Linked DNA regions of Schizosaccharomyces pombe. The gene in region 1 interacts genetically with each later gene. Each region holds a gene or a part of one and is shown on either strand. Other genes may lie near its edges.

Region 1 (7,819 bases):
CAACCCCAACGATCGTTATCATTCAAAGGATGGCCTTGACTCATTTTTTCAATGTTTGCTTTGGGGTGTAGATCATCACCCTCAATATACTCAAAACCCAATTTCTCAGATACCGCCTTAGCCATCGTCGTTTTTCCTGAACCGGCAGGGCCGATGACTACAAATACATATTTGTATGGCTGATTAGTAGGATTAATGGGAGTAACAGTCATAGTTATCGAATTATTTGTGAGGATTTCAAAGTTTGGGTACAATCACAAAATCACACGTTGGTGGTAATCGAACGAGATGTTTTAAACAAGCTTTGTCAAAATGGCGCTAAAAGGCTCCTTTCTCGGACAAAGCGATGCAAATTTACTGGAAAACAGCCAACTTTTCAAAGGTACTATAGTTTGTGGTAAGCGGCAAGAAATACCGAAAAAATGCAGACACTTACGACTTGGTTAAACACAGCCAAGAAAAGTTAATACACACTAGATGTTATTAAAAACAAACAAATACCCGGGGGCTTCTCGTCCCTTTAATACAAATTTTGTAGCTGTAGAAAGGAACTTTAAATTAGGCCGACAGCCTTAAAACTAAGTTGGATTGACGTTTAGAAATCGGGGTATAGAGGGGCTCTAGAACTAATGAGATTGAAGCAACGTATACCCCATCTCTTCAGTAACCCAAGATGCCAATATGACAAAAGAAGAACCGGGGCATGTTATTTCGGTTTATTAAATTAAAATAACGTGCTGAAAGAATACACTGTAATGAATAGTGAATAGCAACGATTCCACTGAAACATTTTTATACTAAATACACAGCTACAATATAGTCTATGGTGAGTAATGAATATGAGAGTGCTGGGAGGTACGGTATATAAGGAAGGTTGGAAAAAGTATAGAAATGAGTGCTGTTTTGTTGCTCAAGAGATGAAGATGCGTTTGTTTCCTTTTCATTTTGGAGTACCTTTTTGATTCTGTGGACCAACGCTTTGTTATGTTGAATGTCGAAGTGTTTCACTTAGAAAAAGAAACTACCTTTGTGGTTACAAGAAACAAACAAACTGCTTTTAACGCCTTTATTCTATGCTATTAAAAATTGAGTAAACCGTCTTTTTACTACTCATTTGTCTGTTGTACAATATTACGTACCCGATATTTACTCAGTACTTGAATGCGTCTGTTTGACGCAATGCCTCCTTACCTAACTTACCAAGCACCATTATCTTTGATCATTTTTCACAAAATGGTATTTGCAATTAGAATACGCCAGTTTCACACTACTCTCGTTTCTGCCGAAAAGAATGGATTACAGAAGTTGATCCCCCCTAGGCTGAAAACCATTTGGAATCAAATGTTGGTTGAAACAAAAGGTGCTGGTAATGGTCCTGAGCGCTTTGAGATGATTCGTCAAAAATACAAAGCTTTGACTGCCGATGAGATCCAAAAGTATAAAAACAAACTCCAGGAGCAGTTCGATGCTGAGAAAAAGCGTTTTATGGAGACTCTACGATCCTTTACACCTACAGAAATCGATAGTGAAAATCGTCGTCGCTCGAAGGAGGCTCACAGCACGGGCAGTCGCTATTACAGACTTCGTCATCCAGATGTTCCTAAAAAACCTTCTTCTGCTTTTATCCTCTTTTACAAGGAGCTTCGAAACAATCCCAAGCTACGTCAAGAGTTAGGTATTCCAGAAGCCATTTCCACACTCGTTGAAGAGACCCAAAATGCATCAAAGGCGTGGAAGGAATTGGCGGAAGACAAGAAAAAGCCATTTATTGATAAAAGCAAAGCACTTAAAGAGCAATACGATAAGTTTATGAAAGAAGCCGGATTTCGATGATGCACACTCTACTTGCCCAGATCTTTTTTTTCTATAGATTTCTTGAATCAATGAGTTTACGTTTTATTTTACTAGCATACATGCTTGAAATATAATAAATTTCGATGCCTACACTAAGTTTTCTTTCTGTCGTAGATTCCGCATTGACGAAAGCTTTATTGTCCCAAAGCTTTTTCCTTATGAGTGTTGCGCTTATTTGTAGTTTCTATTAATTTTAAATTGTATTTTGCATATAATAGTGCTTAATACTATGATTGCTTGATACCTTGAAATATCTAGTTAAGAGGATAGCATTAAGCGGGTAATAATTTTACACAAAGCTTGTTGGACTAATGAGCCAAATTGATCCATCCCCTTTTTTAACGTATAAGTACGTCTTTAGAAGCCTGTGTCCTGCGCATAAAAAATCTGAAAAGTAATTGTCAATTAAAAAATTTTCTCAAAAGTCAATTTTCTTTTTGTGAAACAAAGTACATAAAATTTCAAAAATGAATATCACAATTTGCACGCCCAATAAAAAAAATTATAAAGTTGGCATTGTTTGCACATTCCCCAGATAAAAATGAAATTAAGGATTTCAGTTTAGGCTGAGGCAGGAGGAAGAATTTCACCACGGTTGACAAGCAAAGCCTCCAAGACAGCAACAGTGGTCCATTTGCGGTTCTCTGCTTCTTGGAAAACTAAACTGTTCTCTCCATAAAATACCTCGTCAGACACTTCCTCGGGATGACGGGGTAAACAATGCATGAATTTGCAGCTAGGTTTGGCAAGCTTCATGATCTCTCCGGTGACTTGGAATCCTGTAAATTGTTTAAGACGTTGTTCCTTCTCAGCTTCTTGACCCATAGAAATCCAAGTGTCGGTAACGACGATATCAGCATTTTTAACAGCAACCTTGGGGTCGTTAACAATTTCAAAAGTAGAACCGTTTTCGTTCGCAGCTTCGTTAACGATTGATAAAATATCGTCGCGAACGTTGACGTCCTTGGGCTTAGCAACGCTAGTATGAATACCAACCTTGGCATTTGCAATCATCAAATCATGTAAAACGTTATTGGCATCACCTACCCATGCAACTTTTAAACCGTCAAAGCTTTTGAAAGTTTCCTTAATAGTGAGTAAATCTGCTAACGCCTGGAGAGGATGAAACGTGTCACAAAGACCATTAATAACAGGACAAGAGGCATGTTTAGCGAGCGTAGCAACATCTGAATATTTGTTTACGCGAGCAACAATACCAGAAACCATACTTGATATAACTTTTGAAGTATCGTATAAAGACTCATTCACTCCTAATTGGATATCATCTTTACCTAAAAACATGGCATTGCCGCCAAGGCAACTGACAGCACTTTCGACTGATACACGAGTACGAGTGCTACGCTTACTGAAGATCATGGCGACATTCTGAGACGACAAACCACTCATTTGAACAGAACGGCGATTCTGAAAATTCTGCTTATAAGCTTGTTTAATTTCAGAAGACCGATCGATCAACTTTACAATCTCTCCGCGACTAAGATCACGAATGGATAGTAAATGACGAGGAAATTTTTTGAAAGACATTTTCAATTGCAAACTGAATAATTCTTCTCGACTAAATATATCAAAAATACGGTTTTTGTAGTCGACTACAAGGAACCCACAAGTTACTGGTAATTTCTTAGATATTCAGGGTGAGATTGCATATAGCCGATATCTAGTTCTCTCTCAGACTGCGAGATTGGCGCCGTAATATATCGTATGCGGATTTTCGACGAGATGGAAAATTTTTACATTATCGTACACTAGAGTTCAGTTGCAAACAAGCTAGTACGTTGATGAAATATGATAAAACAAGTCAAAAATTAAAAACTACTCATAAACATTCTATTTCCTTTCTTTTTCTTATGTTATTCATGGTAATATTGATACAGAACGTCAGAATACTTATCAGCAATAGCTTTTAAATACCAAAATCGTTAATTGATTAGCAGTAAAAGAATATTCATGGGTTTAGCATTTAATTATAGAACTAATGAAAAGGGATGAATTTTTTTCGACCTTGTAATATTTTTTTTATTTACCACCCATTCTTTAAAGAACCAATACATTGTAAATAAAATGTATCTAAAAAACGTGTAGTTATTTTTTTTGTTTATTCAATTATCTCTTGACACTATATTCAAGCGAGCTGAAATAAAACCAATTGTGTTACTATATTGATAACTCAGCATGCTTGTGAAATCAACAACTACCATGAAATGAACAATGAGTTCACAGATTCGCTATATTACAAGCTTACACTTACAGTATTGCATAAAGCGAAACAAGTTTTAACGAAAGAGAAGGGCTTCTTGCCAAATTTTTTTTTTTTTTTTTTTTTTTTTTTTTTTTAACGAGATTATCTTAGATAATAAATTTTATGATAAGTGCTTTTGTCTCATCAGGGTCATTGGGACTATTCAACGCGAAATCAAATAGAAAACAAAATATTGTTTCAAAAGAATGCTTTCATGTATAAATCAAGATATTGAACTGGCTTGCATAGAAATAATGAATATTGTACTGTGTCAGTTAGGACTAGTATTAAATAATGTATATACAAATAGATTCATTGTCGGCAAATGAGTTGCTTTTACAGTGTCATTTATATAGCTTTAATTCATTAAATGTCCATGTCTCACGTTTGCAGCACTTTCATGTAAACTGTTGGTTTCCGATGTAATTTTCAGCCAACAAGTAACATTATCGATCTCATCTTTTTGAGTGATTATCTCCAGAGCAAATCCCTAGATACAGCAATCAAATTTTAACGAATTATAGCTACGTTTACGAAGCAAATGATTTTCCAATTTTGAAACCAACCAAACTGCCTTCTACCAACTACAGTAAATCATAGAATATCACTAGAATTTGGCAATGCTTATTGAATTGCAACAAATTGTCAAGTCCGGTCTTGTACGGAATGGAGCGAAACACTGTACGAAAAGGAGCTTACTATGTTCCAATGCATCAGTCATTGCAAGCAAACGTTTTCAAGGCAGTTTTGCCCCGGGTCAACAACAACCGTTAAACCCACTCGCGAAACCAATTGAACAAGATCGTGATGCCATCATTAGAATTCTTTCCTCCATCGGAAGCCGTCGTGAAGTTGAGCAATACCTACGATACTTTACTTCCTTCGAAGCTCAACGTTTCGCTATTATCAAGGTTGGTGGTGCCATTATCACCGACGAATTAGACACATTGGCACAAAGTCTTGCCTTTTTGAATCATGTGGGTCTTTATCCCATCGTTGTGCATGGCGCTGGTCCCCAATTAAACAAAATTCTTGCCAGCAGAAATGTTGAACCCGAGTATAGCGATGGTATTCGAATCACCGATGCCGAGACTCTTTCTGTAGCTCGTAAAGTTTTCTTAGAGGAAAATGCGAAACTTGTAGATGCTTTGGAAAAGTTGGGAACTCGTGCTCGTCCCATTACAGGTGGTGTATTTCAGGCAGAGTATCTCGACAAAGAAAAATACAAGTATGTTGGCAAGATTGTCAAGGTAAACAAAGCTCCTATTGAACACAGTATTCGTGCTGGAACCCTCCCTATTCTTACGTCTATGGCCGAAACTGCTTCTGGTCAATTGTTGAATGTCAACGCCGACATTACTGCTGGTGAGCTTGCTCGCGTATTGAAGCCTCTAAAGGTGGTCTATCTCAATGAAAAAGGTGGACTTATCAACGGTGAAACAAAGAAAAAAATTAGCAGCATCTATTTGGATAGGGAGTACGATGGCCTCATGAAGCAACCATGGGTCAAGTATGGTACGAAGCTCAAAATCAAAGAAATCAAAGAGTTACTTGATACTCTTCCCCGTACATCTTCCGTAGCCATTATTAGTACGAAGGATTTGCAAAAAGAGCTTTTTACGGAATCTGGCGCTGGTACTTTGATTAGTCGCGGTTTTGTCATCAACAAACATGACTCGTTGGATAGCATTCCAGACGCTGCTCTAGAAAATTTGATCATTCAAAAAAATTCTTTAGCCGCACCTAGTGAAAGCTTGAAACAGTTCAAGGATACTCTGAAAGACAGAAAACTTCGTATTTATAGTGACTCTTTCAATGAATCTGTTGCTATTGTCGACACCACCGACTCATCCTTGCCAGTACTCTTAGCTTTTGGTGCCGCCGACAATAATTGGTTAAACAATGTTGTTGATAGCATATTAACAACATTAAAAGCAGACTTCCCTTCTTTGCTATGGCGTCTTCAACCTTCAGCCAAGAATCTGGAATGGTTCTTCTCTAAAAGCGAAGGTACTTTGTTTGCTAATAATTTTTACTACTTTTGGTACGGTGTAAAAGATTTGAATAAAATCTCCAAGTTCATTCAGTCTGACAAGCCATTTGCCGATGCTATCATTCAGACCCAATCCACTAAACCCCCTACTGCTTCATCTACCACCAACAACCCTTCCTCTTCACAGATCAATCAAAAACGAAGTTACTCAACTAGTTCTTTATTTTCAAAAAACAAAAAAATGAATCGTTCTTTGTTTTTAAAGGGTGGAAAACGATTTTTTTCTGCTGAGGCTCAGAAGACCCAAAAACCTTTGAAGGCGGTCTCATCGAAGCCAGCAAAAGTCGTTCTCCTTGGAGCCCGTGGTTATACCGGAAAGAACTTGATTGGATTGATTAACACTCATCCTTATCTCGAATTATCTCATGTTTCTTCTCGTGAGTTGGAAGGCACCAAACTTCCTGGCTACACTAAGAAAGAAATTCAGTATGTCAACTTGTCCACAGATGATGTTAAAAAATTAGAGGAAGAGGGAGCGGTTGATGCTTGGGTCATGGCCCTACCCAACGGTGTATGCAAACCTTATGTCGATGCTTTAACGTCTGCAAATGGTAAAAGTGTCATTGTTGATTTAAGTGCGGACTACCGTTTTGAGCCCTCGTGGCAGTACGGTCTTCCTGAACTAAATGACCGTGAAGCTTTGCGTAACTCGAAACGTATTTCCAATCCTGGTTGTTACGCTACTGGATCGCAAGTCGGTTTAACTCCCATACTCTCTTTGATTGACGGCCAGCCCTCTATTTTTGGTGTATCTGGTTATTCTGGGGCTGGCACTAAGCCCTCTCCGAAGAATGACTTGAATGTATTGACAAACAATTTGATACCTTACTCATTAACTGATCACATCCATGAACGTGAAATTTCTTATCGTTTAAAGCAACCTGTCGCCTTTATTCCTCACGTTGCTCAATGGTTCCAAGGAATTACTTTAACTATTAATGTTCCGTTAAAGAAAAGTATAACTTCCCGTGAGCTTCGTAACTTATACCAAGACCGTTATAATGGTGAGCCTTTAATTCATGTTCAAGGAGATGTACCTTTGGTCAAGGACAACGCACACAAGCATCATGTTTCAGTTGGTGGTTTTGGTGTGCACTCTTCTGGAAAGCGTGCAGTCATTGTAGTTACTATCGACAATTTACTTAAAGGTGCTGCTACTCAAGCTCTCCAGAATCTCAATCTGTCCTGTGGTTACGATGAATATGCCGGTATCCATTTGGATTGATTATATTTTTTGTAGCCCATTCTTTTGTTATTTTTATTCTTTCTGTGTACCATTTGGATATTTTTTTGTTACAAATATTTTGAACTAAATGCATTAATCCTTGCTATTAAATAGCCAGCAGTAAGTCGCGTACGAGTACCATCTTAAGTTTCCACACATTTTAATTTAGTTCTTGTTCAGTTATACAAAATTCCTCTGTCTGTGCGTCGCAGACTCTTCAAAACTTATATAAACAGATTTGAAGTTGCTTTCTATGGTATAGATTTTCATCAACGAAATAATTTTTGTACGTAGAATAAAGTGGTAAATAGTTAAGCTTCAATAATCTTAATTGCGTATAAGTTTTATTTCTTTATTTAAAATTATATATGTTACTTAAAAAATAAGCCCAAAGTAATAAGAAATCTCTATCCTTGCATTACTAACG
Region 2 (7,213 bases), on another chromosome or scaffold:
TTCATTTTTTTCTTTAAACGGTCGTTTCTTTCTCTTTCTTGGGTGAAATAAGCTATTTTTTATTAAATACTACCCTTACTCGTGCTATTTTTTTCTTCTCTTTTTTTACTTCTCCTTCTTTGCCGTGCTCTGTTTATTACTTCGTCATGTCCGAAGCCACCACTGCCACAACAACCGGTAAGCCATCCCGCTCTACCAAGAATCCTGACGCTCCTCGTCCTTACAAATGCCCACTATGCACCAAGGCCTTCTATCGTTTAGAGCATCAAACCCGTCATATTCGAACGCATACGGGTGAAAAGCCTCATGTTTGTACTTTTCCTGGGTGTGCCAAACGATTCTCTCGTAGCGATGAATTGACGAGACATGCACGCATCCATACAAATGCAAACTCTAGAAGGAACGCTGCTGCTGCCGCTGCCGCTAATAATTCTGCTAGAAGCTCCAATTCTCCTGCTGGCAATTTAGAACCATCTACAAACAATGCTGGTGTGCATATGACCAATGCTTCAATGAATCCTAATGTGAATCCTTCCTACCCCGTGTTCATTCCTCAAGTTGGCATGTCGGTTGCACCTCCCGTCGCCACTGCCGCCGTTTCCATGAGTTATCCTCACCATTACTCGGCTTCAGTGCAACAACAACAAGCTACTTTCGTTAGTAATGGACAGCCTCACAACCTACCCGCTCAAGCTCAACCTGCCACTATCTACGGTATTCCCGATGCCCTTCATACCACTCAAAATGGTACTACAATCCATGTTACGGGTACCCCTCCGGGTGCTGTTTCTCAACGCTCGGAACCCGATTCCAGATTGTCGTCCATGAACGAGATGCAATTGTTGGCTTCAGCGGCTGCTAATCAATTGGATGCTGCCCCTAGAATCACTCCTACAAAGTCTTCGGGTGTTAATTTAATGCCTTTATCTAATGCTCCTTCCCCACCGAAGCAGATGAATGTAGTAGGTAGTCTGCCATCATCATCCAATACTTCTCCTAATCATCTCGCATCGGTTCCCAATAGAGGCTTAACTTCTAACTCATCCACTGGTTCATTTACAAAGTATACTAATGGCTCGAGCAACTCTTTATATAGTAATTCGTCTATGCAGACTCCCTATCTGCCTAGCAAATCTAACAGTAGTACTAGCCTTCATTCAATGTATGGCGTTGGTACTACGGCTTACGCTCCTCAGTCTTTACGTTATGCCCATTACAACTATTTGCCTTATTCTCGACCCAGCGTATCCAATGGCTTTGATGATGATTCTTCGTCAAGTGATTTTGCCCATTTCCGATACCAGCGTCGCTCTCGCCCGGTTTCCCCCTGCAGCACTGCACCGAGTAGTCCTACCTTTTCCACTAGGAGCTTTAGTCCCACCCCAGACGTCACACCTCTCGTTACACCGGCACATTCTCCTCGTTTGAGACCCATGGATGATCCATCTTGCGTTCAATTACCTTCTATCCGCTCGCTTTCTCTACGACCTTCTCAAGTTCCGTTAATTCCTCCTTTGAAGTGTGATCCTAACGCCTTTTCCGCGTCTACACCAGCCTCTGGTGCTGTCTCTCGTACTCCATCGTCCGTCTCTCTGAGCTCGCTCTCCAACGTTAATAGCAGCATGCCTCACAAACCTGCATCCCAGTCGAATGTTGGTCCAGTCCGTATATCATCGAATCGACGATCACGCAAGTTCTCCTCTTCTTCGCGTGTGAGTGTCAGCAACCTTTTGGCCGGATCACCGCCATCTCCTTCTTCATCCACAAAGTCGGCGTCGTCTTCCTATTCCACCACCACACCGGCATTTTCAATAGGGCCGTTAACTCCTATGACCAAGCCCTAACCCAATATTTGCGCTGTGAACGCTAGTTACCTTTGCTTCCTTTAAACCATCTAAACACCTTGGTTGTGTGTTATGCTATTTTATAAATTAAGTATTAAATTTTTTATTAGTATCATGAGTCTCGACATTTGAGGTTCCATTGTTCAGTTTTTCTTTTTTTTTTTGTTTTAAATTTTTTTTAAACTTCTTGGCATATAATTAGTAATGTTATTTTGTGTTTATTAGACTGCTTTCATAGGTGAAAATTTATGTTATATGTTTAAATTACTTCTTGATCAGTGTATGGGTACAATAGACCATAAACTAATAAAGTTATTTTTTTTTACCGATGGTGTTTAATCCTTTTTGCTTTTATTTAGCTAAATTTATTGTATATAAAGTTGTCTGCAGATCTTATCAAAAAGTTGAACTGCAGGATCTACATTAATGACTTTAACTAGAACTACAGCAAATTACCATCATAATTTAACGGCAACTTCACAATTCGTATATAGAATTATTATTTTAATTCAGAAACAAACATCTGATATGAGAGACCTTCAAGTCCTAATATTGTCGCCATAGTTAATATTAATACATTACTACATACTTTGTTAAACAATGATTAGTGACAGTTCGTTTCGGATAATTTTATTCATAAACTATAAGTAAGCTATAAACTATTCCTTGTGCATCTCTCAAAAAGAAATCAGAAGTTAATGGAGAACAAAACAGCTTCCACACAGTTAATGATATCCTTGAAAAAATATAGAACACCTTAAAGTATGGGTCAGTAAAACAGCCAACACAAAAGTCAGACAAACAGACGTTGAAAAAGAAAGAAACAAAAGGGAACGAGAAATCTCAGACTGACGTGCAAATCAGATGGAAAAAGTTTCAGCATACGATGCTCAGTTGAACTATGCTTTTTTGGAATCATCAAAGAAATCCTTTCTCCATTTACTTTTCCAAACGTCAATTCTAACAGTAGAAAACTTACCTTAAAAGTATAACATATACTAAATTCACAAGTCTTCAAGCTTGAAATTTAAGTATCCATACACAAAAGCGCAGTCACAGTGATCAAAATTTCGGCTCACAAATGCCCCAGTATTTGTTAGAAATGCAAGAAGATTAATGGAACAAATTTACTTTAATTCTACAGTTTTAAAGATAAAAAAGAAAGTCATAAACTTTCCAATCCCATAATCCAATTTACCAATGAGATGATTATAATTGATGTTTTAAGAAATCGACTCTTTTATCTTTTGTAAATGCTGCTCAGCATTTGAGGCCGTTGTTTCGTGATATGTTTGTTTCTTTTGTAGTGCTTCAATATCTTCTCTTAAACTTGCCATTTCTGCGTCCAAATGTGTACGTACGGAAGCCAAATCGGATTTCATAAACCTGTAAATAAACAGTTAGTAAATGACTTTACATATAGATTGACAGTACGGTCAATTCCATTCCAAAAGTGCTGTTTTTGCTAATTCCGTATTCTTTCCCTATTTTTATAGAAAAGAAAATAAAAATACATGTTTCATTTTATGACACTTACATCTTTCCAAGAGAAGTATATACGGCCTTATCTTCTCCAACATCCTCTAACTCTTTTTTGGCTAATTCACTTATTTTTAGTGCCCGTTCCTTGGCAGCAATCTGTACCATTATGGTCCTCAGTTGTTGCTGTGAATCAACCGCTTTCTCTTGTATTTGACTAGCTAACTAATATGCCCAAAGCTCATTAGTTTACCATGTAACACAGTTAAAAAGAGGGAAATTCCTAACAAAATAATTCTCTTCTCAATGATGAAATACGTACATTTTGCATTATTTAAAGGAAACTTGGGTATATCTCAAGAACTTATTTTTTTTGGATTGAATTGCTCTTTCCAAAATTATGGTACAAAGAATAGTCCTTTTAATACTTTTTTTATAGACAAATCAAGAACTTTTTCAATATATTTGAATATACCACCTTTACAAGTATATCAAGTCTTAGGCAAAATGTTGGTTAGGCCTTAAGTACAAAGCTGGCATGTTACAAGCTACTTTACACTGCTTTTATTATCGGTACGTTTCGCAAATGTGAATTACATAATACGCCACAATTTGTAATAAATATTTTGTGAAATGTTTTGCCATATCCTTAAGTTCTTCCTTACATAAATTGTTGGCGATGGCGTTCACAAACGAATCTTCATTTCATTCCTTCTCTGTTTCAAATTTTTGTGGAAAAAGCATATCCATATTCTTACTAAATCGGATTTCTGGACTTTTCTATTGCTTTGGAAATCCATTATCCTTGTAGTTCACTCATTTGCGCCTCAAATCCTTTATAATTGGAATTGGCTGTTTACATTGATAATTTAGCATTTTTGCATCATACTCAACCCTTTTTTTCTTCTTTTATATTTGAGTTGTTGAATTTTTTTTCAAGTGACTGTAGTTTTTTCAACATTTTCCGTTTATTTATATTAATCCGCCTTTAAAATAATTAAGGCACATTCAAAGACCAATATAGGAAGCAATAACGACATCATGACTGAAAAACACACCCTTCGCCTCGCTGATCCTTCTGCTATTGATTCAATTATTTCTGTTGATGAGTTTCTACAAATCAAGGAACAATACGATGCAGAACAACCTCTGATTACTTTACAAACCAAATTTAACCTTGCTTGGGCATTGGTACGCTCAGATTCTACACAGCATGTACAACAGGGATTATCTTTGTTCTGCAGCATTTACAAAGATTCACCGGAAAGGCGTTTGGAATGCCTCTACTACATTGCTTTGTCCCATTACAAATTGAAGCAGTATGAAGAATCCCGTCGTTATCTCAATATGTTGTTATCCAAAGATCCAAATAGCCCAGAGGCTTTAAAGCTAAAAAACCGTCTTTACGATGCTGTTACAAAAGGTATGTTTATTTTAATAAAACTTAATGAGGTATCACATATGCATGAATGTTGTGTTTATGTTAGAAAGATGCGTTATAAATAATGAAAAGAATCATTACTAACCCGTTTTTAGAAGGATACATTGGAATGGTTGTGGTAGCTGGTGCAGTGGTGTCAGTTGCAGCTCTTGTAGGTTGGGCATCAAAACGGTTGTTTTCAAAGCGTCGTCCTTAAACCGTAAACGATATTAATCACAAGGGAGCTTTCTTTTGCATAAATTCTTCAATTTTTTCTCCTTACGAACAATAGGATTGTGGATGTATCCTTTTCATGAAACGCGTATGAGTTACGAAGGCTTTGGGAGACATTATAGTGTGCACTTTTTTTAGAAAAAGAAGATTATAAATCGAAGCTTGTTGTTTTTATTATATTATCTTTTCTTCTTACCCAGTTGATAGTTCTGAATTCGCTTGTGTTTCTTCTTAACAGCAGGGTAATAAATTTACCTCAAGGAGGTTTTAGATTGTTATAAAAAGAGAGTGAGTATTTATTATAAAAGCTGAATAAGTTCCTCCTTTTATACTAATTCAAAAGTTTTGTATCGATTAAACCAAAAAATATAATGATGGACATTAATGAATGATTTTACAATCCAATTCCCTCTTCCTGTTTGAACAGTTTATTAAGCCCAATAAAGAAAGAAAGAAAGAGTGTACCTTCGTCGATTTTCCAAGAAAACATCCAAAGACTCAAGTATTTGAGATGATGAGCTTTATAAACGAGATTTTGTTAAGACAGACTACGAAGCCTTTCCTCTAGCTTAGCCACTTGAGACTTCCGACCTTCCAAGTGACGTCCCAAAACATTAAGTTGTTGTTCCAGCATTTTTAAGTCATTATCAATGGCGGAAGCGCTGGGGCCATTTGGTCCATCATTTTTTAGAGATTGAAGGATACCCAACTTATAGTCAAGTACTTTCTGTAAATCACGTTGAATAAGCTTTGACTTATTTTGTGCAATGTTAACATCGTCAGTTTCACGTTGAAGGGAAAGAATCTTTTCGTCCAATTTGGACAGCTCATTTCTTAATGAAATCAGCTCCCAGTCAGAGTCTCTCACATCCCTCGGGGCATCAAGATCACTCTTCGGCTTCGCACCACCCGTAGATGGAGCCATTGTAGGTGAAGAGTAATAGTTATTAGTAGAGTTGTAGGAATCTAAATTATAATCGATATTTCCTCTCTTAAAACTAGCCTTTAAACTGTACGGGACATCATTAGGAATACGGAATCCGTTGGATCTCTGAGTAAGGATGTGCAAAAATACTAAACACTGATCTTTCTGTATGGTTTCAGTACCCTGAGGATTGACAAGTTTCCAAGCCTTCTGAATTTGAGAGTTGGGAACCCCAAAAGGAGTAAATACAGGTGCCAGGCCATTAAAAGATACTTCTCCGTGTTTATTGCAATGTAGGGAGTAAATATCGGAATATCGAATTTTATCGGATGGAGAAATGTACCAATCAAATCCATCTTTTAAAACGGCATCTTCCGGGTCGGTATCAAGCGAAGGTACTTTGTGTAAGAGAGCAATATCATCATTTCCACGAAGAGCATCTCGAGCTGCTACTAAATGCTTTTTGGAAGTAGACACCAACGCCTCGGGTACTCTATCTGGAACGGTTTTGTAAACCTAATGGTTAGAAATGATGAAAATAGACAAAAAAAGAAACCCTAAAAACCAAAGGTAGCCTTTCACAATAAAAACAATCAAACAAGTGGAAGGGATAAAAGAAAAAATGAAGGCTTTACGCAAGCGCCGTCTTCTTAAATCATTCATATCTTATTCCATCTTTTTACATTTATTTAATCCATGCTTCACAGGTTCATTCATGAGTAAAGTAAGTGGTTTCATACCCCATTAATCAAATCAAAGGTGATTTTCATAGCAATTGCAAATTCATCAAAATCAAACATTCCATCATCATCAATATCTATCCATATTCGTAACATTAGCACACGTTCGATTAAACGACTCAGACCGCAAACTCATGTTTTCCGTACCTGCTAAATCCCAAATTTTTTCCAATTTATCGCTTGAAAGCTTACTACTACGGAGGACTCCAGCAGCTTTGGATCCTGATAAATAGCCATTTTCTGGATTCAAGCCGCGAAAAATTTCCCAATACTTATTTTTCTCTTGGGGATCCATTATGTCGAGTTCTAGTAAATTTTAATACCCTAAAATATCTAATTCTCCTGAATCGTGTACGGCCAGTGGAAAAGTAAAAGAACTCAGTATATTGACCTTTCTTTTACCTTTTTCCAATGTTTGCTCATACTACGTGTCTTGTTTACGGTAAGCTCACAGACTACCGGATGTGATTCGGAAGTTGCGCGGCATTTCCCCGTTAAAATTACGAAACGCAATTAAGCACAACAATAATACTCTATCCTTAAATATCAAAGCCTAGCGCGCTGCATTTTT

What was found.
Region 2: mutations in arg3 (region 1) and pfd1 together harm fitness more than expected from each alone (negative genetic interaction), as found in Schizosaccharomyces pombe (one large-scale study listed by BioGRID).

The regions. Positions count from the first base shown.
Region 1 is NC_003424.3:2,269,592-2,277,410, reverse strand, and holds arg3 (ornithine carbamoyltransferase Arg3), read right to left. Parts: upstream 3,491-7,819; 5' UTR 3,400-3,490; coding exon 2,416-3,399; 3' UTR 1,895-2,415; downstream 1-1,894. Other genes in the region: idn1 (gluconokinase), read right to left, coding at 1-212; cmb1 (cytosine-mismatch-binding protein 1), read left to right, coding at 1,234-1,833; arg11 (N-acetyl-gamma-glutamyl-phosphate reductase/acetylglutamate kinase), read left to right, coding at 4,735-7,392. UniProt on the Schizosaccharomyces pombe protein: Ornithine carbamoyltransferase involved in the synthesis of arginine from glutamate via ornithine and the urea cycle.
Region 2 is NC_003423.3:1,753,443-1,760,655, forward strand, and holds pfd1 (prefoldin subunit 1), read right to left. Parts: upstream 3,817-7,213; 5' UTR 3,655-3,816; coding exon 3,646-3,654; exon of another isoform or gene 3,549-3,645; coding exon 3,382-3,548; exon of another isoform or gene 3,231-3,381; coding exon 3,068-3,230; 3' UTR 2,824-3,067; intron 2,781-2,823; exon of another isoform or gene 2,680-2,780; intron 2,601-2,679; 3' UTR 2,459-2,600; downstream 1-2,458. Other genes in the region: DNA-binding transcription repressor, glucose sensing, Scr1, read left to right, coding at 147-1,844; protein Fis1, read left to right, coding at 4,365-4,746, 4,860-4,960; actin cortical patch component End3, read right to left, coding at 5,516-6,418, 6,643-6,719, 6,790-6,937.